7 linked regions of the Mus musculus genome follow. The protein of the gene in region 1 interacts with the protein of each later gene in a pairwise test. Links are inferred from orthologs where the notes say so. Each region holds a gene or a part of one and is shown in the gene's direction. Other genes may lie near its edges.

Region 1 (4,297 bases):
CTTGCTCATGCGCTGAAGGCCCCCTGCCTGCTCGTGGCCGACCTCCACACTGGCTCTCCCACACCACCATGCCTCTTCCCTTCTTCGTTCTCCTCCCGGCAGCTATGAGTTACAACTTGCCTGCCGTTCCCGCCCCCACCCCCAACCCTGGCCCCACTGCCCGCCCTCAGCTCTCTGTATCAGTTCTTAGATGCTTTCATTCACGTGACCATAAAACCCCAAGAAGGGACCCTGATCCCACAGTATCACATTGGCTCTGACGGACTCCCCAAGAGCCTCACTAACAAATCCTCCTGCATGTTTTTTGGTTAGGTTTTATTGCTGTATTGTAAAGACCATACCCAAGAGCAATTTGGGAAGGAAACTGATTTATTTGCTTTACAGATTACAGTCCAAAGACATTTTTAAAAAGAACTGAAGTAGAAGCCACGGAGGGAACGCTGCTTATTGGCTTGCTCCCTGTGCTTACAGCACCCAGGACCACAGGGGGAGGCCCCACCCACAATGGGCTGGGCCGTCCCACATCAATCATGAATCAAGCAAACGACACCAGTCTTGCCTACAGGCCATCCGATGGAAGCACCGAGTCCTTTTCCTAGATATCTCTAGTGTGTATCAAGCTGACAGGGGAAAACAAAAATAAGTCCAGCCAACAACAAAACCCACCAGGACCCAGCCTTTTAGGGTATTAGAGAAAACAAATTAGTTTCAGAACCAGAGATGGCACCAGACTATGTATAGATTTGTAAGATGTGTAAAAAGATGACATATGCTCTTTGTGGGTCGCGTTGGCACACGCCTTTAAGGCCAGCACTCAGGAGGCAGAGGCAGGCAGATCTCCCGAGTTCGAGGCTAACCTGGTCTACACAATGAGTTCCAGGACAGTCAGGGCTACACAGAGAAACCCTGTCTTTCTTTCTTTCTTTTTTTTGGGGGTGGGGGGTTTCGAGACAGGGTTTCTCTGTGTAGCCCTGGTTGTCCTGGAACTCACTTTGTATGTAGACCAGGCTGGCCTCGAACTCAGAAATCCACCTGTCTCTGCCTCCTAAGTGCTGGGATTAAAGGCGTGCGCCACCACGGCAGGATGAGAAACCCTGTCTTGAAAATTCACAAAACCAAAACCAAATCAAACCAACAAGAAACCCCAACTCCGTTCTTTCCCAGCGACAGAGAAATAACTAGAGCAAAGAGGAGAACAATAAAACTGCTTCCTGGAGAGAACTCGACATGGGGTCGCGAGGACATTTTAATCTCTCAGTGTCCTCGTGACGCTGGTAACGCCAAGTAAGACTCCAGTGCCTGGCGACGGCTCGCCCTGGAACGAGACGGCCACTCAGCCTCAGTTCCGATGGGAACCAGAAGCAGCGCGAGGCGGGATCACCGGCCCTTCCGGGTTGCAGACACGCCCCCTCCGGCGTGAAGTCGCTGCCGGGGCAACAGCGCGCCACTTCCGCCTCTGAGCGATGACGTATTTCCGATGCGCCGGTAAAGGCCACATCCGGGTTTGGGCTGGCGGGACCCTCGCAGATTCGGGGACGCTGGGCGAAGGCTGTGTGGCTCTCGCGGATGCTGAGCGAGGTGAGCAGGCGGCGGGGTGGCGTCCCGGGAGCGCGGGCTGAGGCTCCGAGGCTCCGTGACGACGGCTTTACGGTTTCCCTGCGCTCCGGGCCCGCTGCTGACATTGAGCTGAGCGTCTCCTGTCCCCTGTGCTGGGGAGGTGGCGGTGCTGTAATTGAGTGGGCCTAGGGCTTCCTGCTCCTTTGAGGAAACTCAACATGTGCTGGTTGCTGGGGTCGGAACCTGTTGAGTTTCGCCGGTGCATAGTGAGGAGGAGGAGGAGGAGGAGCAGCGGGGGGGGGGGGGAGCTGTTAGTCACCGCGGAGCCGTTTTCACGCTGTCAGTCACTGGTGTCACATAGTGAGGATGTTACTGTGCAATGCACACAGTGTCGGGTCGGGACCTTTGAATGTGATAACCACACTCACAGGTGTTCATAGAGGCGCGATTTAGACTCAGGCTGGGGTGTTAAGTGTTAATGATTTTCACAATCATTTTGAAGGATTCACTTCGCAGTCCTGACTTGTAATGAGTGTGAACCTGAAACCCGATCATGGAGTGGAAGAAGATGCTTTTTTTTTTTTTTCCTTTTTCCTCCCTTTCCCCCCGTTTCTGTTTTTTGTTTGTTTGTTTGTTTTGTTTTTTGTTTTTGTTTTCAAGACAGAATTTCTCTTTAGCAGCCAGCCCTGGCTGCCCTGGAATTTGCTTTGTAGACCAGGCTGGCTTTGAACTCAGACCCCCCTGGTCTCTGCCTCCCTACTGCTAGAGTCAAAGATGTAAGGGTGCTGTTTCTTGAGCACCTACTGGGAGCGGAGCTTTCGTTGTTGTTTTGTCGGTTTTGAGACCAGGCTGGCTTTGAACTTAGAGAGATGGATCTGCCTCTCTGCCTCCAAAGTGTTGGAGCTTTTGTTTTTCGAAAGTATCATCTTAATCAGTCCTTACAAGCTTCTCCTGGAACTGAATGAATGCAGTTATGAGAGAGAGAGATGAATAGCTACCTGGGTAGAACACTGTTTTTTCCCTACCCTCTAGGAGTGACTGCAAAGTGGCATTCAGAAAGACTGCAACCTTCCAGTACCGTAGAAGCCGTTCAGGGAAGGAAACCTTCAGTCCCGTGGAAATAGTATTTCAGAAAATGCTCTGAAGTTTCCCTGGAACTGCAAATTGGCTAGATACAACTTTTCCTGGAGAAGTAAAAAGACCAACCTGGTTTCTGAGGTAATAACATTTAGAGCTGTTGCTTCCTTTCTGTGGCATATGTGCCTGTCATTCTGTGGCCCCGCCCCACGCGTGCATGGTGATTGACTCTGACAAGGCATTGTGCGTTAGGCCCCCTTCGGATGGCTGGGTCTGACTTGTCTCACTTGTCACGGAGCTGGTCATTTTGCCCTTTGTTTAATGGCTGCTTTACTGAGTTGGATCATGAGGCTCATTAATAGCTTTTTGACACTGGCGGATCTTCTGCTAGCCCCAGGTTCTCACAGTGCTGTTCTTGTCACCGTCCTCTAGTGACTGGCCATGTCTCTGTCCCACTTGTACCGGGATGGCGAAGGCCACCTTGATGATGACGATGACGATGAGAGGGAGAACTTTGAGATCACCGACTGGGATCTCCAGAATGAGTTCAACCCCAACCGGCAGCGCCATTGGCAGACCAAAGAGGAGGCCACCTACGGGGTGTGGGCGGAGCGAGACTCGGACGAGGAGAGGCCCAGCTTTGGAGGCAAAAGGTACTGTGTGCTGGGCTGCATGCCCTGGGTCTGGAGGATCGGGAAGGCATCCCAGAAGAGTTTTCTGCCCTTGTAGAGTCCGGGTGCTACAGCATCTTGCTATGTGTTGTTGAGCTGGGGTGGCGAGCTCCCCCTCAGCAGTTACTGTGTGATGGGATCAGGGCTACTTATGGATAGGGAAGTGCTGACCCACCACAGGCATGGCAGCTGTGGGGCCATGCTGTGTCAGGGAGCACTCACAGGGCACTAGAGAACAGGGAGTTTAGAGAGGGTGCTCTGGAGAAAACGCTGTTGGACCAAACGGAGGTAGAAAAGTGAGTAGGTCCACAGGGGAGAGTGGTAGTACAGCCTGGGGTCCACATTAAGATGCTGTCTCAAGTCTCCCCACCTAACTACACTCAGAATGTTTTGATTAATTTTACTTAGGATTTTTATCTGTTTGAGTTGTTCTGACTTTTATCCTTGAAATAGTATCTAAAACAAACACTGTGTGTGTGTGTGTGTGTGTGTGTGTGTGTGTGTGTGTGTTTACAGGCATGCTAGATAAGTGCTGTACCACTCTAAAGCAAAGCAGACACTAAGCTAACACAGTCTTTTCAGTTGTAAAAGGGGGCCCAGTTTGATGCCTCGGAGGTTGTTGCCATGCACACCTGGCTAGCTGGGTTCAGTCACCAGATTCCTACAGGGAAGGGGAAAGGGACGAGATGCTCTACAAATTGTCTGCACAGAGCAATAATGGCATTTTTGAAAGCGTCCAAAGGAAGTAAGATTATTACATCCTAGTCTGAATTTATACTCAACCCTACTGACAGTGGCAAATCTTCAGTTATAGTTTGAATCGAACAGACCCCACGAGTGTAAAATGTGGGCTGGAAGAGGACCCAGGAGCAATTGAGATTGAACTCAATTGCTATTGCAGACCTGAGTGTGGCTCCCAGCCAGTGCCCACCTCAGGCAGCTCACAAGTGCCTCTAATTCCATCTTCAGGGAATCGAGCCTTTGGCTCATCG
Region 2 (4,365 bases), on another chromosome or scaffold:
CCCCCCCCCCAGTCCTTTTTCCTCATTTTCTTTCTACATCCGTGTCCCTTCCCACCGTGTTAACATTGAGGAAAAACGTGGCTGGTGAAGAGCCGTATCCAGAGCTTTATGGTACCCAGAATAGACTTTAGTTTGGCCACCTAAAGTCTTCCTGAGTGGCCAAACTATAGTCTATTCTGGCTCTGGCTCTTATCTTCCTTGTGCATAAATAAATTTGGGGCTCTGCCTTTGAGACTAAGGCACTCTCCATCTTTCTTATTTGGTGGATTCTACCTTTGCCAGCTTGGTCCCTGACAGACCTGAGGTGCAGCTGGTCACTTGGATAATTCCCAAATCGCATAGATGCCTTCGTGACACCGTTGTAACCACAGAGCAGCCCAGCCACTCCAATAGACACTGGTGCTGGCTGCTTCCCGAGGGGCCGCCAGCCAACCCACAGCAGAAGCTGGCTGGAGAAGCAGATGGATGTGTTGGAAAGGCTAGCATGGACTCTAAACACAGCATGTGGGAAATGCCCACGTCCCCGGGAAATACCCATGTCCTGGGGAAGAGGTCACTTAGCAGTGCAGTTTAAAATGTACTTAAGGCAGGTTTCATTGCAGGGCCTCTTGTTCTCAATCCACAACTGTAGTAAGGGCAAGGTTCTCCAGGCCCACCAGAACCACAGGTCTTTGCAAATCTTAGCAAATGATAGAAGCAGTAGGGCTCTCTCAGGGGATTGAGCCTCCTTGTATCTCCCCATGGCTGGGAAGTCCTGGCTCTAGGCCAAAGTTCCAGCCATGCTGAGCAGCTCGGTTCTGAGATGCGCTGATTGGGGTGTGATTAAATTTCTGATGGAGGAGATTCAGCATTGTGGCCAAAACAGGGGGATGGCAGTGTTTAGCACAAGCTGCTTGGAGCCAACCTGCCCCTTTTCAAGATCCCCTACTCTTTCCTCCGACTCTTCTCTTTTGGATCTCTTCCAGAAGAAGGAAACAAAGCAGTATGTCCCAAGTCAGAGATAAGAAGTCAGGAAGCAGGAAGGGCCTGGTTGCTTCTCAGAGCATGCTCTGAAGGTGGTCTGTCCACTCAGGGTGGCTGTAGCCTCATCCTGGAGGCCGGAGTCCCGCTCACTCAGACGGATCTGTTTTCTTGGCAAAGCTGGACTCGCGGCTTGGGCCTGTTTCTTTCCTCATCCTTTATTCAGACAGCTTACAAGTGCTCTGCTGGGAAGGGCGATTAAGTAGCACTAAGTGTATTTTTCCAGTGTCCACCTGATAAAAAGAAAATAAAACAAAATCAACGATTGAACTGTCATTTTTTTTCTCCCTCACTCCCCTCAAGGGGATAGGGGAGTCACATGACTACGAGTAACTGATTTAGCCAAGTGGCTGCAACTCAGTTTGCTGCAGAGCCGCCCCCTCCCGGCGGGAGCGCTGACGTCACGGAAAAGCCCCGTCGCGGGGCTGCCGGGCGCGCTATAAACGGCGGCGGGCAGCGGAGGCTTCAGGAGGCGGCACTGCCAGCGGACATCACACAGCCTCGGACTGCGGAGCCCGCATCGCAGACGTCAGGCGTTGCAGCAGGCGGATCGACGGCAGACGCCCACCCAGCGCCCAGTGCAGCCAAGTAAGGGGCCATGGCTGAGGGGCAGTCCCAGTGGGAGCCTCTGTGGGAAGGGGCGTTCCTGGTCTCCGAACTTTTTAAGTTAGGAAGGCAGCCAGTCCCTAGACTCCCTAGGTCTGTACCGGGGGTTCTGCCGTGGGAGAAAGAAGTTCAGGCGCAAAGGATGCGCTTCTGATGGGGGTTTCTAAATTCAATTTCGGAGGAGTGTCACCTTACAGATTAGGTGGCCAGGCGGCAGACTTCAAGGTCTGCTGTCGCAAGTCTGTCAACCCAGGGACTGTTTTTAAGACTTAAAAAGAAACCGGCTGGTTCTGGATCGTGGCATAGGTGTGATGTATGGAGTAGGGTGTGTGAGCTGAGCGTGATCCTTGCGCTCACGCGGGGAGCTTGCTGAGTTAAAAACCATAGAGCGGTTATCTCGGGCAGTCTTGGCAGAACAGACTGCCTGTCAGGCAAGGCAGTCTTGCAAGGAAAAAGTTGTAGGAAGTTGTTGAGTGGCTTTTCACTGAGTCTCTGATCTTCTAATTTACGTCAGAAAGGTGCAATTTTTAAAATAAATAATTATATACAGTAAAAAAATCATGGAGTGGACGACGTTCCTTAAGAATGAAGCCCTTTTTGTACAAGTGTGATGTGTCTGAATGTGAGCAGGTCCTTCCCCTCTCAGAAGAACCAGCCTCAGGGCTGCTACGCTAAACAGTTTCTGTAGATAAGAGGGTAGAGCTGAGGCATAGCACTCAAACAGAAACTGTCCCACTCCCCAAATAACGGCCTCTTCAGTCAGGCAGCTGGAGGACATCAGGGCAACCTTACTAAACATGGAAGTTCCCCCAAAGTGCCTGTCCAGTCCAGCCAGGGGAGTGATGTCATTGCCGCGTGTTTCCCACTGAGGCTCAAGACTGCAGGATGCGGGGGCAATTAAGAGCCATGTTTAGACAAGAACAGTTAACCTGGCCAGCTGGTGCCCAGCAGCTCTAACTTGTTGCTGATGGTAATGTCATTTCTGGAGGCAATGGGTTCCTTCCAGCTGCCTCTGTGCCAACTCCCGGTGGGATTTCCAAAGCTCCTTTAAGGACAGAGGGAGCTTATGGGCAATGGATGGATGGTGTTACTGCTACTACAAACGACAGCCTGATTGAGAAGCTAGTTACTGAGTGTGTGTGTGTGTGTTGTTGTTGTTGTTGAAAATTTTGCTTTCTAGGCTTAGGGACAGTTTAGTGGTTGATTCTTACATTAAGAATTCATACCCATCAAATGAAGCACCAAAGACAACTGTGTTGAGCGCCCCTGGGCCTGGCTCATTCTTAATCATATTGCCATCTTTACTGCTCTGATTCCTAGGATCCCGCAATGACTCTGAATAATGTCACCATGCGCCAAGGCACTGTGGGCATGCAGCCACAGCAGCGCTGGAGTATCCCTGCTGATGCCAGGCATCTGATGGTCCAGAAGGATCCCCACCCCTGCAACCTCCGAAACCGCCACTCTACTGCTCCGGAAGAGCACTGCCGGCGGAGCTGGTCGTCCGACTCCACAGACTCGGTCATCTCTTCTGAGTCTGGAAACACCTACTACCGAGTAGTGCTTATAGGGGAGCAAGGAGTGGGCAAGTCCACCCTGGCCAACATCTTTGCAGGTGTGCATGACAGCATGGACAGCGACTGTGAGGTCTTGGGAGGTAGGTGGCCCAGCCCCGGTGGGCTTCTGTCTTGTAAGCAGAAAGAGTGAGAGGGAGTGGGTCATTTTTTCTGCAGAATTGGGAGCCAGGCATAATGGTACACACTTGCAATCCCAGCACCAGGAAGGAAGAAGCAGAAGGGCTAGGAACTCAAGGTCATCTTCAGATACAAAAAGAGTTTGAGGCTAACCTGGGCTATGTGATTCTGTCTCAAAAAAAAAAAAAAAAAACAACAAATTGAAACAAAATGTATCTTTAGGATTAGGAGAACCTATACCTTCTCAATACTGAGATGGTGACAGAGGCCTAACTGCTGGCACAAAGCCTCAAGCACAAAAAAAGACAAGACAGGAGGAATACATGTACGCAGGACCAAATCTGTTGACCCAAGTTATCAAGGGGCTTTCTGAAGGTCAGGTCTGAGGGGTCCAAGAAGGCTGACTTGACCCTGGACTGGTTTTGGAGAGTTCACTACTGGAACGTTTTCTGTGACTATGCATAAAACCGAACCGATTTGGAAGGGAAAGAAACCTGCTAGAGTGGATCGATTAGTGTGCTTCCACTAACATTAGAAGCATTTGCAAGTGTAAGTAGGTCAAATGCTGTACTTGAAGTAGCATAATAACTTAAAAAACTGAGCTATGAAGATGGTGATAAATGCCCTGCATAGAGCCTGACAGGTCTCCAGATGATTTTCTGTATATGACCTATTTCCAGGATTTATTTATTTAATTCTTACCTATTTCTAGACCCACTTTGTACAAACATACATACACAACAACAGGTGGTAGCTTTTTAATATTCTGGGGTGGAAATTACAACTGGGTAGCCAGTTGTTGTCATACAATGTCCTTCAGCTAGAGCTCCAACATCAGTATATGTACCTGGAACAGCTGCACCCCCTAATTACAGCTGTAGAAATGGAGGGAGGATTGTTCAGTGTCTGTCCCCACTTTCAGTTAAAATGAGAGGAGTAAGCTCGGGAAAGATGGCTTAGTGGCGTCTCATTTCTCTCTATTCAACGTGTGCAAATCTTACTCCTCACTACAACAGCCCATTTCATGGAAAGGGTTAATTCTCCT
Region 3 (4,146 bases), on another chromosome or scaffold:
GTGGGTCTGGCGATCTCTGCAGTTCCCGTGCTTTACAGTATCTTCCTGTAAGTACGAGAGACTTCTGTTTGTTCTCACTCTAGCTCGACTTGACTGAATCCAGTGTGTCTCCCCCTACAGGATCCCACCTTCGAAACTGTGTGGCCCGTTCCGCGGGAAGCTGTCCATTTGGGCCCAGATCCCTGAGGCCATTGAGAGCCTCCCTCAGACTGCCCAGAATTTTCTCTACTTTCTGGGAACCCAAGCTTTTACTGTACCTCTTCTGATCCTCTCTAGGTGAGCAGTCAGACTTTGAATGTGTGTAATTTAGTGTTTGAAAGAGAAAGGAGTTTCTGGGCACCTGAGTGCTAGAGAGGTGGGCTGGGTGCCTATATACAACAGAGACGTGGGGCTGGCCGGGATGCCTATAAATCAAGAGCAGGAGAGTCGGAGTGTGAATGCTTAGGGTCTAAGAAAAGACATCTGGGTTTGGATTCCTGGTCTGAGGAAAGGAGGGCTAGGGTGTGGATTTATCGATTTGATGAAGGGGGAGGAGGTATGGAGCCTGAACCTCTAGTTTAACCTCTGGTTAAAGGGTCTGAACTTTTGGGTCTAAAGAGAGAGGATAAAGACTTGTGTTCAGAGTCTCAAAAAGGGTTTTAAGGGATTTGAGGATCCTGATATTGGTTTCTTTAATTTACTTATTCATTTAATTTTTATGTGTGTTGGTATTTGGACAGTGTGACTGTCTGTGTGAAGTAACGAACTTGAGTTACAATTGTAAGCTGCCATGTGGGGCTGGGAATTGAACCCCGGTCCTTTGGAAGTGCAGCCAGTGCTCCGGTTACGAGCCATCTCTCCAGCCTGGTTTCTAAGGAGCCATATGATGAAGATGATTGTTTTTCTAGAGTGATTTTCATTCCTGTCTTCCATAGCATCCTGATGATGTATACCGTAGCCCTGGCTAACTGTTACGGACGCCTCATCTCTGAGCTCAAACGCCAGATAGAGACGGTGAGCCAGGCTGATTTCCCCGGAAAGGGCTCTATGAGACTATGAAAGAAGAATGAAAAGGTGTGCTTCACTTTCGCTCCTTTTTGCCCGCAGGAAGTGCAGAATAAAGTCTTCCTGGCCCAGCGAGCTGTGGCTCTGAGCTCAAGGAATGGAACTTCCTGATAAGTCTGGCTGAACCTTCAGCCCCTCAGCTTCAGTGACTTCATATCAAGTGATGGGACTCTTTCATCTCTGGAACCAAATTCCCCGCCCTCTGCCACCCGAATGCTACACTCTCAATTGAACCGTATTAATAAACAACAGTCAAGGCCGCTTTGCGTTTTGAAACCCCGTTCTGAAGCCTCGGACGGGGTTTGGGGAGGGGCCAGGTCCAAATCGGCCTGAAGAGCTAGGTTATGTCTGCTTAAAGGAATAGACAGGCAACAGCCTCATCAAGCAGCGTCCGGGGGTGGAGCAACTCAGGTTACAAATGCTTAGGATTGGCTGAGATGGAAGGCTCTCAGCCAATAATCTCTAAACAAGGCTAGGATGGGACGTGACAATTGGCCCAGAACCAATGCACGAGCAAGGGTGGAACCATGGGGCGGGAGCATCCTCGAGCCAATCGGAAGTGCTGAAGAGTGGGCCTGACAGTCCGAGGTCGGCACTGGAGCCATGAATATCTTGCCGAAGAAGAGCTGGCACGTCCGGAACAAGGACAATGTTGCCCGCGTGCGGCGCGACGAGGCCCAGGCCCGGGAGGAGGAGAAGGAGCGGGAGCGGAGGGTGCTGCTCGCCCAGCAAGAGGTAAGCCTGGGGACCGCCCAGAAGCGCGGCGGGCCTAGCTATCACTCGGTGCCGGGAGCGGGTCTGTGTGTTCGACGATGTTTCTCTGAAAATCCTGTGCTAACTTCCAAGAAACCTTCCTAGATTTCCCCACTGGTGTTGAGGGACCAGAGACTAGCATACTGGAAGAGTTGGACAAATATTCTGATTACTTTATAGGTTGCCCGCACAAGTTAATTACTGATCACCCACTCTGTGTATGCTCCCTTCCTTCTGAGCGCTTGCTTTGAGAAATTCCCTCTTAGAACAACTTGGAGGGGTGCGGTCACCTTGCTCTGAGTACAACGGCTTCAGCAAGGAGGGCAAAGGGCGGACAAGCCGGGGTCCACTTCGTTGGGCATGTCTTTTCTCCCTCCCTCATTGCTTGCCAAGAAAAGAGCATCTGGAGGTTTTATTTGGAACAGGGTCTGTGTAGCCGTGGCTGTTATGGAACTGGCTACGTAGACCAGGCTGGTCTTGAACTCAGCTTGCCTGTTCCACTTGAACGCTAGTATTGAAGACCACACACACATCACAGACTCTAAGTTACTCGATTAGTTTGGTTTACACTTAAGTCCCTTGGCCAATCTGATCATGAATTAGTGTGGGCTTAAAAAAAAAAAAAAAAGCCGGGTAGTGGCGGTGGCGCACGCCTTTGATCCCAGCACCTGGGAGGCAGAGGCAGGTGGATTTCTGAGGCCAGCCTGGTCTACAAAGTGAGTTCCAGGACAGCCAGGGCTACACAGAAAAACCCTGTCTTAAAAAACAAAACAAAACAAAACAAACAAACAAAAAGGTGACGCTTGTAATTAATCCCAGATACTAAGGCTGCAGAAAGGGGAGAATTGTGAATCAGAGACCATCCCTATCTGGGGTCAGGTTGTACTTGGAGTGGTGACCTGGAGCCATACCTTGGATTTAGATCCTTTGTCCAGAAAGCAATATTTGATTACCTTACAAGTTTGGGAGTATATACATACTTGTGTTGGGGACTGAATTTGGAACTACACACAAGGCAGGGGCTCTATGGCTGAACAAGCCACCTATACCTATACCTGAGTGGGTTTTCCTTGCATCACTTGAGACTGGGAAGCCTTCTGTTTTAGGTCAGGGATCTTCTCTGAACTATCTCTGATAGCCCAGTTTACTGTCTAAAAACATCGATTCTCCACTCCAAGTTAGAAATGGTATCTCTTCTTGCTCTCAATATTTGCCCCACCCCCACCCCCTCTTTTCAAGACAGGATTTTTCTGTGTAGTCCTGGAACTAACTCACTCTGTAGACCATGCTGGCCTTGAATTCAGAGATCCATGTGCCTCTGTCTCCTGAATGCTAGGTTCAAAGGTGTGTGCTACCACTGCCCTCCCTGCCCATGGACCATTCTTGTATCCTCAGCACTTCTGGGTTCTGAATGTCTTCCCTATAACCCTTCATAGGCCCGTACGGAATTCCTACGGAAGAAAGCCAGGCAACGAAACTCAGTGCCTGAGCTGGAAGCAGCAGACCCAGGAGCTCCAAGTTCTGGCCCTGTGGACCTGTTTAGGGAGCTGCTGGAAGAAAGGAAAGGAGTTCCCAGAGGCAATAAAGAGCATGAGGAAGAGAAGCGACGGGAAAAGGTAAGTTGGCCTCATTTTTTGGTGGAATCATGGGGGTGGGGACTGGCTGTGACTGTTAGGATATGGTGATAAGCACTCTAAAATTTTTAGAATATGACTGAGAGATATTACCTGTAAGTTGGTTACTGCTGTACAGCACTTAAACTGGCTAACCTTTTCCCATGGGACTAAAAAAAGTCTTAAGCTATTTTATTTTTGAGATGAGGTCACAACTACACAGACCAGGGGTGCTTTCCAATTCTCAATCCCCCTGCCTTGGCCTCCTGAGCCAAGTGTTGGGATCATAGGCACTCATCTCCAGACAGCATTTGTGCTTTTCAAACTGACTTGTACTGTGGCTCTCCTCTCTCTCGTCGAACTTTGAAGGTGCTATCTCCCACTGAAAAATCACTCCTCCACTTTGCTTTTCTGCAGGTTTTTCCTTAAACTGTTCCCAAAGCTTCTCCCATCTTCACTACTGCACAGGCCGCAGCCTCTCTTTCTTCCTCCTCCTGCAGATAAGCCCCTGGTGCTTCCTGAATGGTCTTCTGATCTCCCTTGTTAAATGACTGTCTACCAGTCCCCGTCTCCAGAAATTTGAGCCCTGGGTTTTTCTATTGCCACATCTAGGGCTCCCAGAGGGACTGAAAAGACTATTTTGTTTTCTTGCCTCTGCAGGAGAGACAAGAGAAAGCACTAGGTATCCTGACTTACTTGGGCCAGAGTGCAGCAGAGGCCCAAACTCAGCCTCCTT
Region 4 (3,835 bases), on another chromosome or scaffold:
CGGCCAGAGAACTCGATTGTACTGTCATGCTGAGGCTCTTTTGGTTTATTTGGGCTTTTTTTCGCAGCTGGCATCTGCGAAAGCCCATCTCCAACAGATGAGTTAGCACAATTATACCAGTTATGGGCACTCGTCTGTGTCTCACATCCTGAATCTCCAGGAAATCAAGGCAGAGCCTATAGAAGCAGAGCTATTACCCAACATGGGCATTGTGTCTTCTTATATTTAGATTTCATGGGGACAGTGATTATAGAAGCCCCGTGGTTTCATATCTTCAAGGCATCCGGCACAGGCTGAGTTCCAGCTTGGGGCCATGGGGTGAGGGGAGCTGTGGTGTGAGGGGATATGACCGCTGTGTTTGTCAAACTCTGATGGCAAGAATCATTGCATTAACCCCAGATCCCTCTTTCCTCTCCAAAACACCCAAATCAGAATCTCAAGGGAGCAGTCTGGGAAACCATCACTGGAAGAATCCTTGGGCAGTTAGGGAATCACTCTCTGGGAGAGTATAACAGTCTTGCCAAGGGAGCCAAAGGGGTCGGGGGTCAGGGGTCAGGGGTCAGGGGGCCCGACAGATCCAACTACCTATAGTCCTGGACGAAGATGTTACTTCTTAGAGCTTCCACATCCTTTCATGAACTCTAAGAGATCTTATCTGTATTCAAGGATTGAGACACTGAACAGCATACAGAAGACTCTGCAGTCGCCCTTAACTTTGGCCCCACTAGGAACTGGGTCTGCAGAAAGAGCCCCCGACACCCTGATGTAGACTATACACACCAAGAGAAGGCAGAAGACATGGACATTCCATGCACAGTCGATTGCCAGAGGCTGGGTAGGCCTTTTAGCCACCTTAGCATCTGAAGGACCCCCACTTAGGCTCAGAGCTTTCTGAGGATTGGACAGAGGGTTTCTTTGTGAGTGGGGAGAAGGCAATTAGCGGGTAGTCCTTAAAACTGCAGTCATATATCCACAGAAACCAATTCTCTGGACTCTTACCCCTGGTTCAGAAATCTTGAGTGATGATTGTCCTAAATCACCTTAGATGTTCTATATGGACTTTACTGGTGCTGGGTCATCGGTGCTCATACAGGCCTGGCCTAAAACCCCTCTCAGCTTCAGCCACCTCATGCACTGCGTGGTGAGGCCCGGACTTGGAATCCAGGCTGAGTATGTTGACAAACTCTAAAAGTCAAGCAGGTCTGTTTTCTCTACCCTCCTCGTTATGAAGGGAGGACATATGCTGTTCTGACACCTGTCTGGACTTCCTGGCACTGGTTTGGACAACAAACAGTGTGACTGTTTAACAAAAAGGAAAGAGAGTCAGAAAAGCCCTGGACAGCCTCTGACCTGCTCTGACTTCCTGGCAGGCTGAGTGTCGCTTGGTCGCCTTGACCACCAGAGGGAGAAACCTTGGGAACATTTGCTCAGGACTCTGTGCCCTGAAACAACAAACCACCATCCCATGCTCTCTTGCAGTCACTCTCCTTGACCTGGGGATTCAAGGAGTATGCTTGCCCAGAGCCCTGGAGATGCACCCCCGCCAACACCACACCTTACTATTCTAAATACATATCTCAAGCCAAAGTTGCTAACGAGCTTGGAGAAACGGGTAAAAAGGAAGACAGTGGTGGCGATGAAGGAGCTGAGCCAGCAAATCCAAGAAACCAAATGCCGGCGGGAAAGGCTGCTGAAGGACAGCAGGCAGCTACTAGAGGAAAAATACCGTGTGCAGGCTGAAAACCAGCTTTTCATGGAATACCTGCGTAAAAATAAGGAACAGTGTGAGAAGAAACAGGAGGAGCTGTGGAAGCAGTACGTCCAAGAATGTGGCGAGATAGAACGCGAGAGACAAGAATTGGCATCCAGATACAACCAGAGAAACGCAGCTCTTCAAGCCCAGCTCCTGCAGGGCAGAAAGACCCAGAAGGATTTGAAGCAGCAGTTGCAGGCACTGAAGCCAGTTTACAAGATAAAGGAGGGCCAGGACGTGAAAATACAGACCTTGGAGAAGGAGCAAGAGAAAGTCCGAAGTGAGACTGCGACCAAGGACCGGGAGGCGCACTTCCAGTTCCTGCGGGAAAAGGCACTGATGGAGAAGGAGCTGCAAGAGTGGCATCTGATGGAGCTGGGGCAGATCAACACCACGGGGCTTACGAGGAAGTACAAGGCCTTGGCGCTAGCAGCCAAGCAGGCTCATTCTGAGTTCTGTGGCAGTCTCCACAGGGAGAACCAGCAGCTACGCAAGGAGCTTCAGCAACTGAGCCAGGAGTACGGCAGGTTGGATGCTGTGAGGAGCCAGCTGGAAAAGCACCGGCAGCTGGCGAAGGAGCAGCAGTGGTACCTAGAAGCCTTGACCAGAGGGCGGCAGCGGCTGCAGGCAGAACGCGAGCGCCATCATCGTGGTCATAACCCACGCCTCAAGGAACAGAGAGCTTCAAAGACCATGCTGAGCACCAAATCAAAAGCAAGTTCAAAGTAACAGCTACTGCAACTGAATTGAGGCGCAGGGAATAATCTACAAGCCAAAAAGTATCCTTCGTGGAAAATAGAAACACACTTTCAGGAAGGGCAGTTGTTGCAGCATGGGGTCGTGCTCCTTGTCTGGGACCCACATCCTCACTGTCTGTGTCCCTGGGGCTGTTGTAGATTCCGGAGATTTAGAACACTTGGAAAACTTTTTAACGGGTTATACCACCCATTTTTATAGTAGCATTTGAAATTCTCAGAGTACCTAGTTAAGACATGTATTTTACCACACTTTTTTTTTCTTAATGTGTACTCTGCAGTCCACAAAGTATAGTGTATAGCTTACATGTTCTATGTATTTTGGGCCATTTGAAGCAAATAAGAATCTTATTTTAAATTGTAGGGGTTTGTTGGTTTAGAAGGGTTTCAGGTTTGCATTTGTGATGAACTGTTTTTGTTGAACTGTGGGCTCTGGTCTGGAAGAATAGCCTTGTTTTTGGGTCATGCCCCTGCATGGGGAAAAACATAGCCAGCTTCATGTTTCTCAGAAATTTTTGGCAATGAAAACTTCAAGGTAACTGTTTAGCTTTATTTATGTGTAAAACAGTTAAAAAAAAACAACAGGATTAAAGGGTAACTTAGCTTGTCAATGTGCCTTATCATCTACTTTTAACATTGTTGGCGAATATATATACTTTGCCATTAAACAGGGTTGTTAAAAACAAAATTTAACTGTAATTAGTTCTTAATGCTCCCCAGATTTATTAATGTAATAAAAATACTATATCCCTCAATATTTTATGGTATTATTGCCACCCCTTTGAAATGACAGAACATGCATGTGATGATGTACACCTGGTAAATAATGTAAGCATCCTGACTTGGGGTCAGGCCACTATGTCACTGGCTAACAGGTGGGTAGTGTATACAGCATGGACGCACTGGGCAAGGATGATTTGTGACCCTTATGTGATGCCAGCATGGTACAAGGTCTCACAACACTACTCAGACACACAAAATATATGAATTGCATTCTTCCAGAATTTTCCATTTTGTTTTGGACTGAAACTGAACACAGACAACTGAAAGGTAGAAAGGGACGCCGTGTGTCAGGGGAATTGTCACAGTGCCAATCCAGTCCCCCCATCTCCACTGCCACCCCTGCCTACTGTTTGTAAAGGAGAGTCCACAGACCAAAGGCTGTTATCTTTAAAGCATTCTTACACTTCATTCTTTTCTCATGGAATAAGTATTATAAGCTCACCTTGAGCTTCGAGGCCAACTTCAGATCTTTTTCCTTCGTGCCTAGAGCCATTTTTATGTTGTCTAACCAATGGGCAGACTTGATGGACCGCTACAGGTTGCT
Region 5 (4,244 bases), on another chromosome or scaffold:
AACAGGTAATGTGTCTTACCTTGTCCCACAAAGACTGCAGCTCTTCCTGCCCACCTAAGTCCCAAAACATGAGACGAGCCTTTCCCACGTCCACAGTGCCAACTGGAAAGAGTACAGAAAGAGCTAGCTCCTGACCTTTACACACAAGGTTCCAGCTCTCCCCAGGATGGGACAAACCATTCTGGTACCAATCCTAGGGAACTTGAACACAGAATAGAAAGACAGGGTTTTGACCACTGGTCAGCTGGGTTGTGGACCTTACAGCATCCATCTCTAAGGGACCTCCTAAGATCATATCCCTAAGGTGCCCCCTTACTGTTTAGACCCACGGTAGTGGTGATTTTGGATAGACTCATCCCCTTGTAGTTCTTGTTAAAGCGTGTTTTTGACTGTTCCAGGAAAGTCTGAGGAAAAAAAGAGAGGGGGTTAGATAGCAGCAGCTAGAGTAGTTTTCTGGTGTCCTTCCCACCTATCCCTTCACACCCATGCAGCCATGCACGCCTCTGCCTGTGGCTTGATCTTCAGGAGGCTGGTGACTACTAACCTGTAGCCTTGGGGCGGGGGTTAGATCAGGCAGGGAATGGGAACTGGTGAGAGAGCAGGGACCTACCGTCTTCCCAGCATTGTCCAGGCCCAGGATCAGGATGCAGTATTCATCCTTCTGGAACATGTACTTGTACAATCCCGAAAGCAGCGTGTACATCCTGTTCTGGCACCCTGAGAGATGTCAATGTGTGTACCGGGGGCATCGGCCTCCTGCCCTGCCCGCTTCATCAGCGGTCCGCCTCTCCTGCTAGTTTTCAAATGTGTAGCCTCGCGGATCCTGACTCTTCGCCCCCATCCCGCCTCTTCTGTTAAAATCCCTGACCCTGATTCCCCCGATGCCATCGCTGACCACGTGCTAGACCTGGGCCACTCCCACTTAATGTCATCTTTCATAATGCACCATCAATTCGGAGTCCTGAAAAGCCCGTGGCGGCCTGCTCTGCTCCGCCTTCCTAAGGCTCCTCTTTCCGAACCCTCAACTCAGAACCAGGAAACGCGGCCGGCGACTTAAGTCTAGGAAGCGACCAGAGAGGCAGAGCTCCTGAGGAGGGTCGGCTTCGGCTTCCCGCCGCCGCCGGGCCCACGGAGCCTGGGAACCAGCAGCTGAAGCCACTTCCGTCCCCCTGTTCCAGGACTTTAGAACCCCGGCCCCTCAGTCCAGCTGAGGCCCACCCGTACCTGCTCAGATCTTGGAGGAGGAGCCGCCGCCGCCGCCGCCGCCGCCGCCGCGTTCCTAACCCCACCGACCTCACGCTGACCCCTCACAGTGCCTGACGGAACAAGGAGCGAAGGACGGAGCACGGGCGGAATCGCATCCCAGCGGCCCCCGCGCGCAGGTACTTCCGGCAGCTTCGGCTCTCCGGCGGAAGTGCCCGGCGGAGGGCAGAAGGCTAGCGCGTGAGCTTGGCTGGCGAGGGCGGAAGCCCTTCTAGCCTGCGAGCGCCGGCCGGAGGTGGGGTTGCGGGCCGCAGAGGACGGGGCGGGTGACGTGCAGGTCCCCCTCGGCGGAACCGCGGCCCTCCTCAGGCTCCCTAGCGGTTTTGGGGGCGGCGTTGCCCTGAGTTGTTCTTACTGCTCTTCCTCCTGTTTTTGTCTGCGGTAAAGGTTCCGAATCCTGCCTGCTGGGTCGGGATGGACGAGGACAACCTAGAGACTGCCCTGCAGACCTACCGGGCCCAGCTGCAGCAGGTAGAGCTGGCGCTCGGTGCTGGCCTAGACGCTTCTGAGCAGGCGGACCTGCGTCAGCTGCAGGGCGATCTAAAGGAGCTGATTGAGCTCACCGAGGCCAGCCTGTTGTCGGTCAGAAAGAGCAAGCTGCTGTCTACAGTGGACCAGGAGAGCCCAGCTCAAGAGGATGCTGAGTACCTGGCTTTCCAGAAGGCCATTGCGGAGGAAGTGGAAGCGCCCGGCGCCCCCTGCAATGACTCGGAGACGGCCCCTGGGAGCGAGGTGCAGCCGGGATCCACCTCCTCTGCACTGGAGGAGGAGGAGGAGGACCCAGATCTGGAGGAACTGAGCGGTGCTAAAGTGAATGCCCCCTACTACAGCGCTTGGGGCACGCTGGAGTATCACAACGCTATGGTAGTGGGCGCCGAAGAGGCGGAGGATGGTTCTGCGTGCGTCCGAGTCCTCTACCTATACCCTACCCACAAGTCCCTGAAGCCCTGTCCGTTCTTCCTGGAGGGAAAGTGCCGGTTCAAGGAGAACTGCAGGTAAAACCCTCTGCTGCTAGCAATGAAGGGCACGCAGTCGGGACCACCGCTGTGGCCTGTCGCCACAACTAGTTTGGCACCCAGCAGAGTTGGTAATAGAGTCCAAACCTTAGGTGACTGACAGGCTTTTACAGAAGTGTTCTCCGTGTGTTTACTTAGATTTTTCTTGCATACATCAAGAAGTTTGAAAGAGCTTATGTTGAAAAGATAGGGCAATCCTTCATCAATATTCTTCTCCAAGGTGTAAAACTTTTTTTTTCCCCTTTGAGATAGCAGTGTAGTAACTCTCGATGTCCTTGAATTCTTGATCCGTCAGCAACTCTACTACATCCTGAACGCCTTCAGTTTCCAAATGCTAGGATTACAGGTGGAGGCCACCACTTCTACTGGGCTACATCTCCAGCTCGGAACCTTTTTTCTTTTTTTCTCTTTTTAAAAATTTATTGACTATGCTGAGGATGGAATTAGGGCCTCCAGCACACCAGGCAACCAACTACTGTACACCTTAGCCCCATCCCAGCTCCTGTAGTTTGCATAGTCTTACAGAAAATTTCAAACACATAATCTCTTGCTGACTTGCCCTACCTTCCCCCCCACCCCCCGTGCTACTTGAAAGCACCTTTCACAAGTTACATCTTTTTCTCTCACCCTCAAATACTTCAGAATGTAGCTGAAATAATAATTACTAAAACTGATTTATGTCTTTTTTTTTTTTTAACTCAGTCATCCAGAATAACCCTCTAGTACTTTGAATTTATTTATTTTAGGCCACTAAAATAAAAAGATTTGTTCTATTATAATGGTAGTAGTGAACTAAAATTAGTTTCACTTGGCAGGATTTTAGGCAGGGCTAGAGCCTTGGAAGTCTGAGGGCAGAATCCAGAACCCATTTCTTTGTCCATTTTTCTTTAAGGTTGTTATTATTATTTTATTTTGATTTTTAAAAAAATATATTTTAAAGATTTATTTATTTTGCTGGGCATTGGTGGCGCACACCTTTGATCCCAGCACTTGGGAGGCAGAGGCAAGCAGATTTCTGAGTTCGAGGACAGCCTGGTCTACAGAGTGAGTTCCAGGACAGCCAGGGCTACACAGAAAAACCCTGTCTGGAAAAACCAAAAAAAAAAAAAAAATTATTTATGTATGTGAGCACACTGTTGCTCTCTTCAGACACATGAGAGGAGGGCATCAGCTCTCATTGCAGATGGTTGTGAGCCACCATGTGGTTGCTGGGAATTGAACTCAATACCTCTGGAAGAGCAGTCAGTGCTCTTAACCACTGAGCCATCCCTCCAGCCCCTTATTTTGACTTATTTATTTTTTACTTTTTTAATGTTTTTCTCTAAAGATCCATCGGTTGCTTTTGTCTCATTTTGTTTTGGTAAGGTGGTTTGATACATGGTCTCTATGTAATCCTGGCTGTCCTGGACTACATACAGCTATGAAAGGCCTTGGCTGGCCTTGAACTCACTACCGAAAGGCTGGGATTAAAAGTTTGCACCATGGCCTGACTATTTTAGGCTTTTTTGAGACAGAGTTTCTCTAGTAGTCCTGGTGGATTTCCTGGAACTTACTATATAGATCTGGCTAGCCTGGAACTCAGAGGCATGCACTACCATTTCTGGCTAAGATATATTTTTAGTTAGTGTGTTTGTGTGTGTGTGTGTGTGTACGTGTGTACGTGTGTACGTGTGTACAGGTGCCAGAAGAGGGTATAGGATCTCCTAGAGCTGGCGTTCCAGGTGGTGGTGGTGACCTGCCGAACATAGATCCTGGAAAACAAACTCAGGACTTCTACAAGAGCAGTATCCTCTCAGCCACTGAGCCATTTCTCTAGCTCTATGTATTTACATTTATCTTTAGATTGCGGTGGGGGTGGGGCATGTGTACAGGTAGGTGCCCAAGAAAGCTAGAAGAAGGTGTTGGATCTCCTAAAGCTGGAATTGCTCACAGAAAACATTAACCACTGAGCTCTCTCTCCAGTCC
Region 6 (3,677 bases), on another chromosome or scaffold:
ACAGGGTTTCTGAATCAGAAACATGGATTAGCTTTATTATACACCACAGAATCTTCCTGTAGGTGGCAAAATAAAATATGTTGGTCTGCAGTAACCTGGAAAATAGTCATTTGGTTACTTCTTGCTGCATAATCCCTGTTTTTCAAATAAGGCTTCTGGGTTGTGGAAGTTGTGAGATAGGTGCTACTGACTGCTAAGAAAGGGCCGACATTGGCAATTTCTACCCCATAAGGCTGTCTCTTAAATGACATGAGAACAGAGTAGCCTCGCATTTTAATTTTATAATTATTTTTATTATCAGACATTTTATTTATCATTATTAATACTTTGATCAAACACATTTTGTGTGTGAGAATAAAAGGAAATCAAGAGAAAGTAGAATAAGTATTTGTGCATTCATGTCAGTGCTGCCGAAGGAGTTAAATTGGGAAGATGTGTATGTGCTGTCATTGCTCAAAGTATACACTGGAACTCAGATTTTAAATACTAGCTTTAGAACTTTATTTGTACTTACATAAAAATGTATATATAAAAATGTATAGTTATCTTGAAAATATCAGTGAGCTCATTAAATCATTTAGTTTTGGAATTGTGTAACAATGATGTTTTTCAGAATATTTTAAACTTGGTATAGGTTTAGTAGCATTGTGGTTTAAATGACTAAGTTAGTTTGCTAGAAGTTAATTATCTTTAAATTGAAGGTCACTATTTTCCTCCTTCACAGTCACCAGATAAGCAGCGAGCCCTAGAAGAAACCAAAGCCTACACCACTCAATCCTTAGCAAGTGTTGCGTATCTGATAAACACCTTGGCCAACAATGTCCTACAGATGCTGGATATCCAGGCATCACAGTTACGGAGGATGGAGTCTTCAATCAACCATATTTCACAAGTGAGACCATGTTCAGTTTGTTTGCCTATGAGCAACACACAGCTTGTTGACTTGCCTTTGTTGTGCAGGTTAATGTGCATGTATTTGCAACATATTAACTTAGTATTGCATTGTTTATGATTCTTTTTGTGATGTTATCTTTTTTAATTTAATTTTTTAATATATTGTTTTACTTACTCACTTTATGTCCTGCTGTGATGTTATTATCTTTATAGTTTGACAGAAAAGTAAATTTTGATGGATTTTATTAAAACTCAGTTGCCACAGTCACATAATCACTCCTGAAGTGAAAAATTATTTTGGTATTTTATTTTATTTTTGGTTTTTTTGAGACAGGGTTTTTCTGTGTCACTCTGGCTGTCCTTGAACTCACGGAGATCCACCTGCCTCTTTGTCCTGAGTGCTGGAATTAAAAAGAAGTGCACCACTACCACCCAGGTTTTTTTTTTTTTTTTTTTTTTTTGACAGATTTTTGTTTGTTTGTTTGTTTGTTTGGTGTCTTTATTGCCTTAAAAATAATGATTTGATAGCTTGGTGGCTAATTTAATTTTTTTCTCCTGTCAGTAGGCTTTTAAAATTCCCCTTTGGTGGTTTAGTCAGTGTTTTATTCCTGTGAGAATAGTGTCTCATGTTGAGCACAGCAATTCTTATAAAGGGAAGCATTTGATTGGAGCTGGCTTACAGTTCAGAGGTTTAGTCTTTTATCACCATGGTGGGAAGTACAGTGGCAGACAGTCAGACATAGTGCTGGAGAGTAGCTATGAGCTCTGTATCCAGATAATAATGAAAAGTAGTTAATGACACTAAATATCTGTTCTTTGGCAGTGTCTTAGAGATCCACTGTAATGAGGCCCCATGACCCAAAGCAACTTGGGGAGGGAAGGATTTATTTTACTTATACTTACTTATCTCAGTTCATCATTGGAGACAGAGCAAGAACTCAAACGCTGGGGCAGAGGCTTAGAGGGGAGCTGCTTACTGACTTGCTCCTCTTGGCTTGCTCAGCCTGCTTTCTTATAGAACCCAGGACGTGGCAACAGCCCGATCTTACGGAGACATTTTCCTCAATTGCGGTTGCCTTCTCTCAGATGACTTCAGCTTATGTCAAGTTAACATAAAGTCTAGCCAGTGTAGGCAGTCACAGTTGTTACTTGAGTAAGTAATGCAAGAAACTAGTTAGAAGTTTTTCTAGATCTCTGGTATTTGATCTTGGCAATTCTACCCTCAGGGAGATGCTTGGCAACATTAGACAGTTTGGCTTATTTCAGAGTGGGGAAGTATTATAGGTTATGTCTACCCATCACAGCACAGTAACGGATATGACTCAAGTTTGACTCAAGTCAGTTATCTTTCTGTTGTATTGCCTTAAAAATATTTGTTACTTATAGATTACAAAATTATAACTTATGTGAAATGCTATATTAGTGTTTCATGAGAAATGTATTATTTGTTAGCAAATAATTAAAGAATATAAATAAAAATATTATTTGTACTATGAATGTGAGCACTTGATAAATTCTAATGAAATATGTGATCAATGTTGTGTTAATAAGATGTAAGCAACTTGCTGAAGCTAACAAGCTTTTCTGTCAAATGATGGTTTTGAAGGGAGGAGGTGGATGCTGGGAATTACGTCAGGGACTTGTAAATGTTAGGCAAATGGTATACTCCCTCACTCTACCCCTTGATCCCCATTTGTAATATTTATATTTTAGTCTTGTTCCTTCTTTGTAGTATTTAAATAATATTAGATTATACTAATATGTTTTTTAAAAATATAACAAGACTATTCTCTGCTGTTTCTTTGTTTTTTGTTTTTATTGTTTGTTTTTTGAGATAGGGTCCCTCCACATAGTCCTGGCTGTCTTTGAACTCTCTATGTAGAGCAGGCAAGCTGGCCTCAAACTTAAAAGATCTATCTGCCTCAGCCTCTTAAGTGCTGGAATTAAAGTCATTTACCACCATGCCTGGCTTCTTATTTTATTTATATTAATTTATTTATTTTTCTTTTCTGTTGAAAATGATCACTCTGGCTTGGAGAAATGATTCAGTTGCTCCAGTCTTTGCTGCACATCCATAAGGCCTTGAGTTCTGTCCCCAAGCCCATGGAAAAAGATGGGTGTAGTGTGCACTTGGAATCTTCATGCCAGGCGGCAGAAACAAACAGGTGCCTGGGACTAGGTGGTCAGCCAGCTCAGACACATTAGTAAGACCTGTGTCCTAGTGGGAGACTCAAATAAACAAGGGAGGCAGCTTATGGAAAATGATACTCAAAGTGGACCTCTGGTTTCCATATGCACAAGCATGTATATACATATGTACACCCCTTCCATGTGAACACACACACTAGCACCTATATGTGTGTACATATTTGTATAGGTATTTGTGCAGACATGTACACATGCACATTCTAAGTTCTGCTCTTGTGGGCTGTAAAAATCAGGTGATGTTCCAGGTTATATTTGAAGGCATGCTTTGGTGACCCTTGCATTAGGTTAAAAATGAATAAAGACAATAGTCTAGAGAAAAGGTGGTTTATGAAATGAATACGAAGGATTGTTGAATCTCTAGGCATTTGGTTATTATTTATTTGGATACCAGGGCTATCTGTCTTTGTGTTGTCTTATTTATATTATATCTTACAGACAGTTGATATTCATAAAGAGAAGGTTGCAAGAAGAGAAATTGGTATTTTGACCACCAATAAAAACACTTCAAGGACCCATAAGATTATTGCGCCAGCCAACCTTGAGCGGCCAGTTCGTTATATTCGAAAACCTATTGA
Region 7 (4,116 bases), on another chromosome or scaffold:
TTACTTTTAAAAAATACAGACTCCTCAGCCTGGTATTCCAGGGGGCACCTCTGCAATCTGACCTGAATCTACCTGCCCATACCCTCACATCCTAAATCATAGTGAAGATGCCAGAGAGCTTGATGGGGGGGAGGGGGGACGGGGGGGGCGTGCAGCTGATCTTGCTTTCCAGACATGTTAAGTACTTTATTCTAGCTCCCTGACCTCTCTGGGTCAGGACTGTTTTATTTGGTTTTTATTTAGTGAAATATTCCCCATTCTTCAAGGCCCGACTCAAAAATCTTTGCTTATTATCCCTAAAATAGCACCATTCAAGCTGGTTTCCATCATTCACATGTGAAGTATCGGTTCATTGAGGTCAGGCACCAGAAGTCTAGCACTTAGACCAGGACCTGGCACATAGTAGGTGTTCAAAAAAATGTGGAGTCATCCCTAGATTGGCCATAGTACACGAGATGCGTTTTGCTTTCTTAGCAGTCCAAGAACAGCCTTCTGCTGCTGCCATAGATAGGGCTGTCCGAGCTACCCCTTTGATTTCCCCTCTGCTAGAGTCCTTTTTTCAACAGTGATCTTCCACAGTCTAGAAGAGAGGACATGGCCTTTCTTTGCACTTGATGGATCCGAATGTCATTTGGTTCTAGATGCAGACACACGTGTTCTCCTCCAGCTTTCCTCAGACACGCCCAACAGGAAAGAGGGCAGTTTTTTGTTTTGGTTTTTTATTTGTTTTGCTTTTTTTTTATTAGGGACCAGCAGCTCGGTTTTTTTTTTTTTCCGCTATATATTACAAGGCGCGTCTGAAAACTCCCAGTCTCCTCCTGAGCCGGCTTTTTGGAAGTCCTGCAATAACTCAGCCCATTTCCAAGTAGACAAAAGTCACTTAGGCGTCTTGTCCCCCCACTACCTAGTAGAAAACCTAGGGACTCTCTGTCGTTTCTGGGGCTTGCATTAGGAACCGAATCCTCACCCTCTACAGCGCTCCAATTGCGCTTCTGACGGAGGTCAGAAATGCGCCCGGCCCCTTATAATGTTTCCAAGGGAAGGTTTGTACATTGGTGATTGTCCCTGGCAGCTGCCCAGCTTGAGACTTGGACCTCCACTTGCCATTGGTCAGTGGTTGGAGTGACGCAAAGAGGGGCGGGGCCTCATCAGCTGTTTGCGGGATGCCCGGAGCGGGCGTATTTTGGAAACAATACCGCGCGGTGTGCCGTGGCCTCCTCCCGCGCCAGCTCGCGCCTGCAGCAGTCGCTGCCGCAGCCCGCGCCACCGCCTCCCACCGCAGCCCGGTGAGCGCCCGGGCGGCGGGGGGCTAGGCGGAGTTGGATCGTACCTCCTCCGGGAAGTGGGGAGCGGAGTCGCGCAGCGCGTGGGGGCCCGGGGAAGGGTTTGGACTGCGGGCATCTGGGGTGACCACGGGGAGTTGGGGTGCAGGGATGTGGGAACGAGGTGCAGAGCACAAATTTGTGGTTGCTGCTCCAAGAGGGGCTTTCGGGAAGCATTTGGAATTCGGAGTTAAAAGTAGGTGAGCAAATGATCCTGGGGTCCACTGCCAAGCTCCCGGACGCTCTGGCCTCCGGGTGTAACTGTGGGGTGGGGCCGTAAGTTGTGGTGCATTTTGCCTCCCTGCGGAGTCTGAAGGCTCCTCTTCTTAACAGCTGGAGTTTGCCCCCTTCTTCCCAATCGAGTGTGGGCACCAAGCCCCCCGAGTGTTCTTCACCCTGGACCCTGGCGCAGAGCCCTGGCATCACAACTCGGAGGCTGAGACGCTGTCCTGGAGTCACCCAGGTGTGTGTGCGTGTGTGCATGTGCGTGCGCGTGTGTCCTGAGATCTTAGCCACTATTGAGTTCAAGGTATCTGGCTAGTGCTAACTCCTAAGAGGAGGAGTTTATATTGAGCATCCTAGTTGGATCGCCGAAGTTCTGCGATGGCTCCAGCGGACTTTAAGACCTTTGCTAGGAATAAAGCATTCCCTGGCGGTGCTCTCAGGAAGTGCCCTCTTCCTATCAGTCTGGACTTTACCACTTTAGCTCAGGGAAGCTGAGGGTCTCCACTCTTCCCCAGTTTACTTTTGACTTTGCCCAGAGCCCCTCCGAGGTTCACACTAACTGGAGAGCCACCTGCAGTTCTTGTGCAAAGTGGGGGGGGGTCCTCCGCGTTTTCAGAGCCACACCCTCTGGCTGCACCTCCCCCACTGTCCAGTCTAGGCAAGGGTTGAACTTTGGGGCTTTGCTGGGAGGGGGAGGGGAGTGATAGGCTTCAAAAGAAACACCAAGACAATGACTCCTGCTTGTGATTGGCTCTGGAGAGTCCCTACTTTGGTTGGGATAGCCACACTGCAAAGAAGAGGTTGAAGGACAGAAGAAGCACTGCTAGGTGACATCTCTTGGTCCTTTCATCTGGAAACTTTACGCTGGAGTTACCCCTTTCCTATCGGAACAATAGCAGGCATGGAGTCATTCTCCAGGGAAGAGGGCACAGGACTACGGATAGCTCAGGGGTGGGATGGGGTAAGGCTTGAGGGTTGAAGTAAGAACCTCACAGAGCTTGCATTTGGGAAAGTAAGGTTTCTGAACCTAACTGAGATTTCTGTAAAGACTTAGCCCCACAAACTACTTGGCTTGTCTTTCAAAGGCAATAAAGTGGGGATCGGAACTCCCTGGAATCCCCAGCAGTCTGATGATGACAAAATTTGTCCTTGCATCTCCTTAACCATTCAGGTGCTTGTTGATGCTTCTGGTTGCCCCAGGGGCCCTAACTCAGGCGAGGTCAGCTTGGAAGTTCAAGCTGCCGGGTGACTCCAAGTGCAGAATTTCATGAGCTGTCAGGTGGAGCGAGAGGAACTTAACACTAAGAAACAGCCCCACTGTGTAGGCAGGGAGAGAGCGCTCAGCAGGAGGGCTGAATTTCACTTCCTTCTGCGAGGCACTTTGCACCTATCTCAGGTTCAGCTCTGGCAGGAATGGGAGGCTGAGTGGATGAGAATTGGAAGTCACGAAGATTAGCGAGTAGAATTAGCTGGACACTTTGCTAGAGGCCGATTCAACCCTCCAGATTAACCTGTGGTGAGCAGGCAGCTTTGCTCCTCTGGACGGGAGCTAAGCCAGCTGGCCAGCTGGAGTGACTAAGTTACGTCCCCTGTTCCAGGACACACTCACCACACCACAGAGCCTGTTTGTTGTGTTGTGCAAGGAGGGGGTGGAGATGTGCAGCAGGGTGGGGCTTAGCACGTTAGGAGGGAACCTGGCTGCTCTACAATTCCTGGCTCTTGTTTTTGCTGCTTAGCCTGGAGTTCAGACTTCGCCGAGAGCCTGGAGGTTCCTGCTTAGGAAGTGTGTGTGTGTGTGTGTGTGTGTGTGCACATAAGTATGTTGTGCACTTTTGTATAGTCAGTAAGTGTCCCCTTCTGAGCCTCCACAGCCACTTACAGAGGCTAGTCTTGCTTCTATGTCCCCAGGTACCCGGTGGTAGCACCTGATCCTACCCTTGCTGTTGCTCGCAAATCCTCAGTGTCAAACTTTGTGACCAGCCTAGGTCAGAGGAGGGGGTGGGGTGGGGGATGGGGGGAGGGTGGCTCTGGCAGGTACAGAGAAAAGGCATGGAGGGGCCCTGACCATAGAGGCCACATTTTGGGGGTGAATGTCACCCTTGGTGGTGTTTTATTACCAGGGTTGTGTATCATCAGAAGTTGGCTTGGTTCCCTCACATAAGAAGAGCAGGGGTGGGGGGTGAGGGGGGAAGGAAGGAGGGGAGGGGAATCCTAGGTCTGGCCTCAGTAGGACAGCAGCCCAGATGCTTCCATTGTTCTCTGACAGGAGAGATGGAGCCACCTCAGTGTGTGGAGGAGCTAGAAGATGATGTGTTCCAGTCAGAGGATGGGGAGCCAGGGACACAGCCTGGGGGCTTGCTCTCTGCTGACCTGTTTGCCCAGAGCCAGCTGGACTGTCCCCTCAGTCGACTCCAGCTCTTCCCTCTCACCCATTGCTGTGGTCCCGGACTCCGGCCCATAAGCCAGGAAGACAAGGCCACTCAGACCCTCAGTCCAGCTTCCCCAAGCCAGGGTGTCATGCTGCCTTGTGGGGTGACAGAGGAACCCCAGAGACTCTTTTACGGTGAGT

The links.
Region 2: the proteins of Tfip11 (region 1) and Gem interact in binary tests that used the Homo sapiens proteins (3 or more experiments, as listed by UniProt). The two-hybrid records come from large-scale screens. The link is inferred for Mus musculus from reciprocal best matches to the Homo sapiens genes TFIP11 and GEM.
Region 3: the proteins of Tfip11 (region 1) and Leng1 interact in binary tests that used the Homo sapiens proteins (3 or more experiments, as listed by UniProt). The link is inferred for Mus musculus from reciprocal best matches to the Homo sapiens genes TFIP11 and LENG1.
Region 4: the proteins of Tfip11 (region 1) and Ccdc121 interact in binary tests that used the Homo sapiens proteins (3 or more experiments, as listed by UniProt). The two-hybrid records come from large-scale screens. The link is inferred for Mus musculus from reciprocal best matches to the Homo sapiens genes TFIP11 and CCDC121.
Region 5: the proteins of Tfip11 (region 1) and Zgpat interact in binary tests that used the Homo sapiens proteins (3 or more experiments, as listed by UniProt). The two-hybrid records come from large-scale screens. The link is inferred for Mus musculus from reciprocal best matches to the Homo sapiens genes TFIP11 and ZGPAT.
Region 6: the proteins of Tfip11 (region 1) and Abi2 interact in binary tests that used the Homo sapiens proteins (3 or more experiments, as listed by UniProt). The link is inferred for Mus musculus from reciprocal best matches to the Homo sapiens genes TFIP11 and ABI2.
Region 7: the proteins of Tfip11 (region 1) and Bmf interact in binary tests that used the Homo sapiens proteins (3 or more experiments, as listed by UniProt). The two-hybrid records come from large-scale screens. The link is inferred for Mus musculus from reciprocal best matches to the Homo sapiens genes TFIP11 and BMF.

Annotation. Positions count from the first base shown.
Region 1 is NC_000071.6:112,324,896-112,329,192, forward strand, and holds the start of Tfip11 (tuftelin-interacting protein 11), read left to right. Parts: upstream 1-1,473; 5' UTR 1,474-1,578; intron 1,579-2,589; 5' UTR 2,590-2,775; intron 2,776-3,066; 5' UTR 3,067-3,075; coding exon 3,076-3,287; intron 3,288-4,297. UniProt on the Homo sapiens protein: Involved in pre-mRNA splicing, specifically in spliceosome disassembly during late-stage splicing events. Intron turnover seems to proceed through reactions in two lariat-intron associated complexes termed Intron Large (IL) and Intron Small (IS).
Region 2 is NC_000070.6:11,702,959-11,707,323, forward strand, and holds the start of Gem (GTP-binding protein GEM), read left to right. Parts: upstream 1-1,488; 5' UTR 1,489-1,608; intron 1,609-2,946; 5' UTR 2,947-2,955; coding exon 2,956-3,283; intron 3,284-4,365. UniProt on the Homo sapiens protein: Could be a regulatory protein, possibly participating in receptor-mediated signal transduction at the plasma membrane. Has guanine nucleotide-binding activity but undetectable intrinsic GTPase activity.
Region 3 is NC_000073.6:3,662,949-3,667,094, reverse strand, and holds the start of Leng1 (leukocyte receptor cluster member 1 homolog), read left to right. Parts: upstream 1-1,254; 5' UTR 1,255-1,647; coding exon 1,648-1,779; intron 1,780-3,233; coding exon 3,234-3,413; intron 3,414-4,070; coding exon 4,071-4,146. Other genes in the region: Tmc4 (transmembrane channel-like protein 4), read left to right, coding at 1-47, 121-276, 915-993, 1,087-1,155.
Region 4 is NC_000067.6:181,509,061-181,512,895, reverse strand, and holds Ccdc121 (coiled-coil domain containing 121), read left to right. Parts: upstream 1-1,444; 5' UTR 1,445-1,510; coding exon 1,511-2,482; 3' UTR 2,483-3,263; downstream 3,264-3,835.
Region 5 is NC_000068.7:181,363,995-181,368,238, forward strand, and holds the start of Zgpat (zinc finger CCCH-type with G patch domain-containing protein), read left to right. Parts: upstream 1-1,428; 5' UTR 1,429-1,677; coding exon 1,678-2,258; intron 2,259-4,244. Other genes in the region: Arfrp1 (ADP-ribosylation factor-related protein 1), read right to left, coding at 20-102, 317-404, 611-703. UniProt on the Homo sapiens protein: Transcription repressor that specifically binds the 5'-GGAG[GA]A[GA]A-3' consensus sequence. Represses transcription by recruiting the chromatin multiprotein complex NuRD to target promoters.
Region 6 is NC_000067.6:60,433,519-60,437,195, forward strand, and holds part of Abi2 (abl interactor 2), read left to right. Parts: intron 1-724; coding exon 725-892; intron 893-3,537; coding exon 3,538-3,677. UniProt on the Homo sapiens protein: Regulator of actin cytoskeleton dynamics underlying cell motility and adhesion. Functions as a component of the WAVE complex, which activates actin nucleating machinery Arp2/3 to drive lamellipodia formation.
Region 7 is NC_000068.7:118,546,710-118,550,825, reverse strand, and holds the start of Bmf (bcl-2-modifying factor), read left to right. Parts: upstream 1-1,139; 5' UTR 1,140-1,163; coding exon 1,164-1,286; intron 1,287-1,655; coding exon 1,656-1,785; intron 1,786-3,226; exon of another isoform or gene 3,227-3,445; coding exon of another isoform or gene 3,446-3,455; exon of another isoform or gene 3,456-3,532; intron 3,533-3,813; coding exon 3,814-4,110; intron 4,111-4,116. UniProt on the Homo sapiens protein: May play a role in apoptosis. Isoform 1 seems to be the main initiator.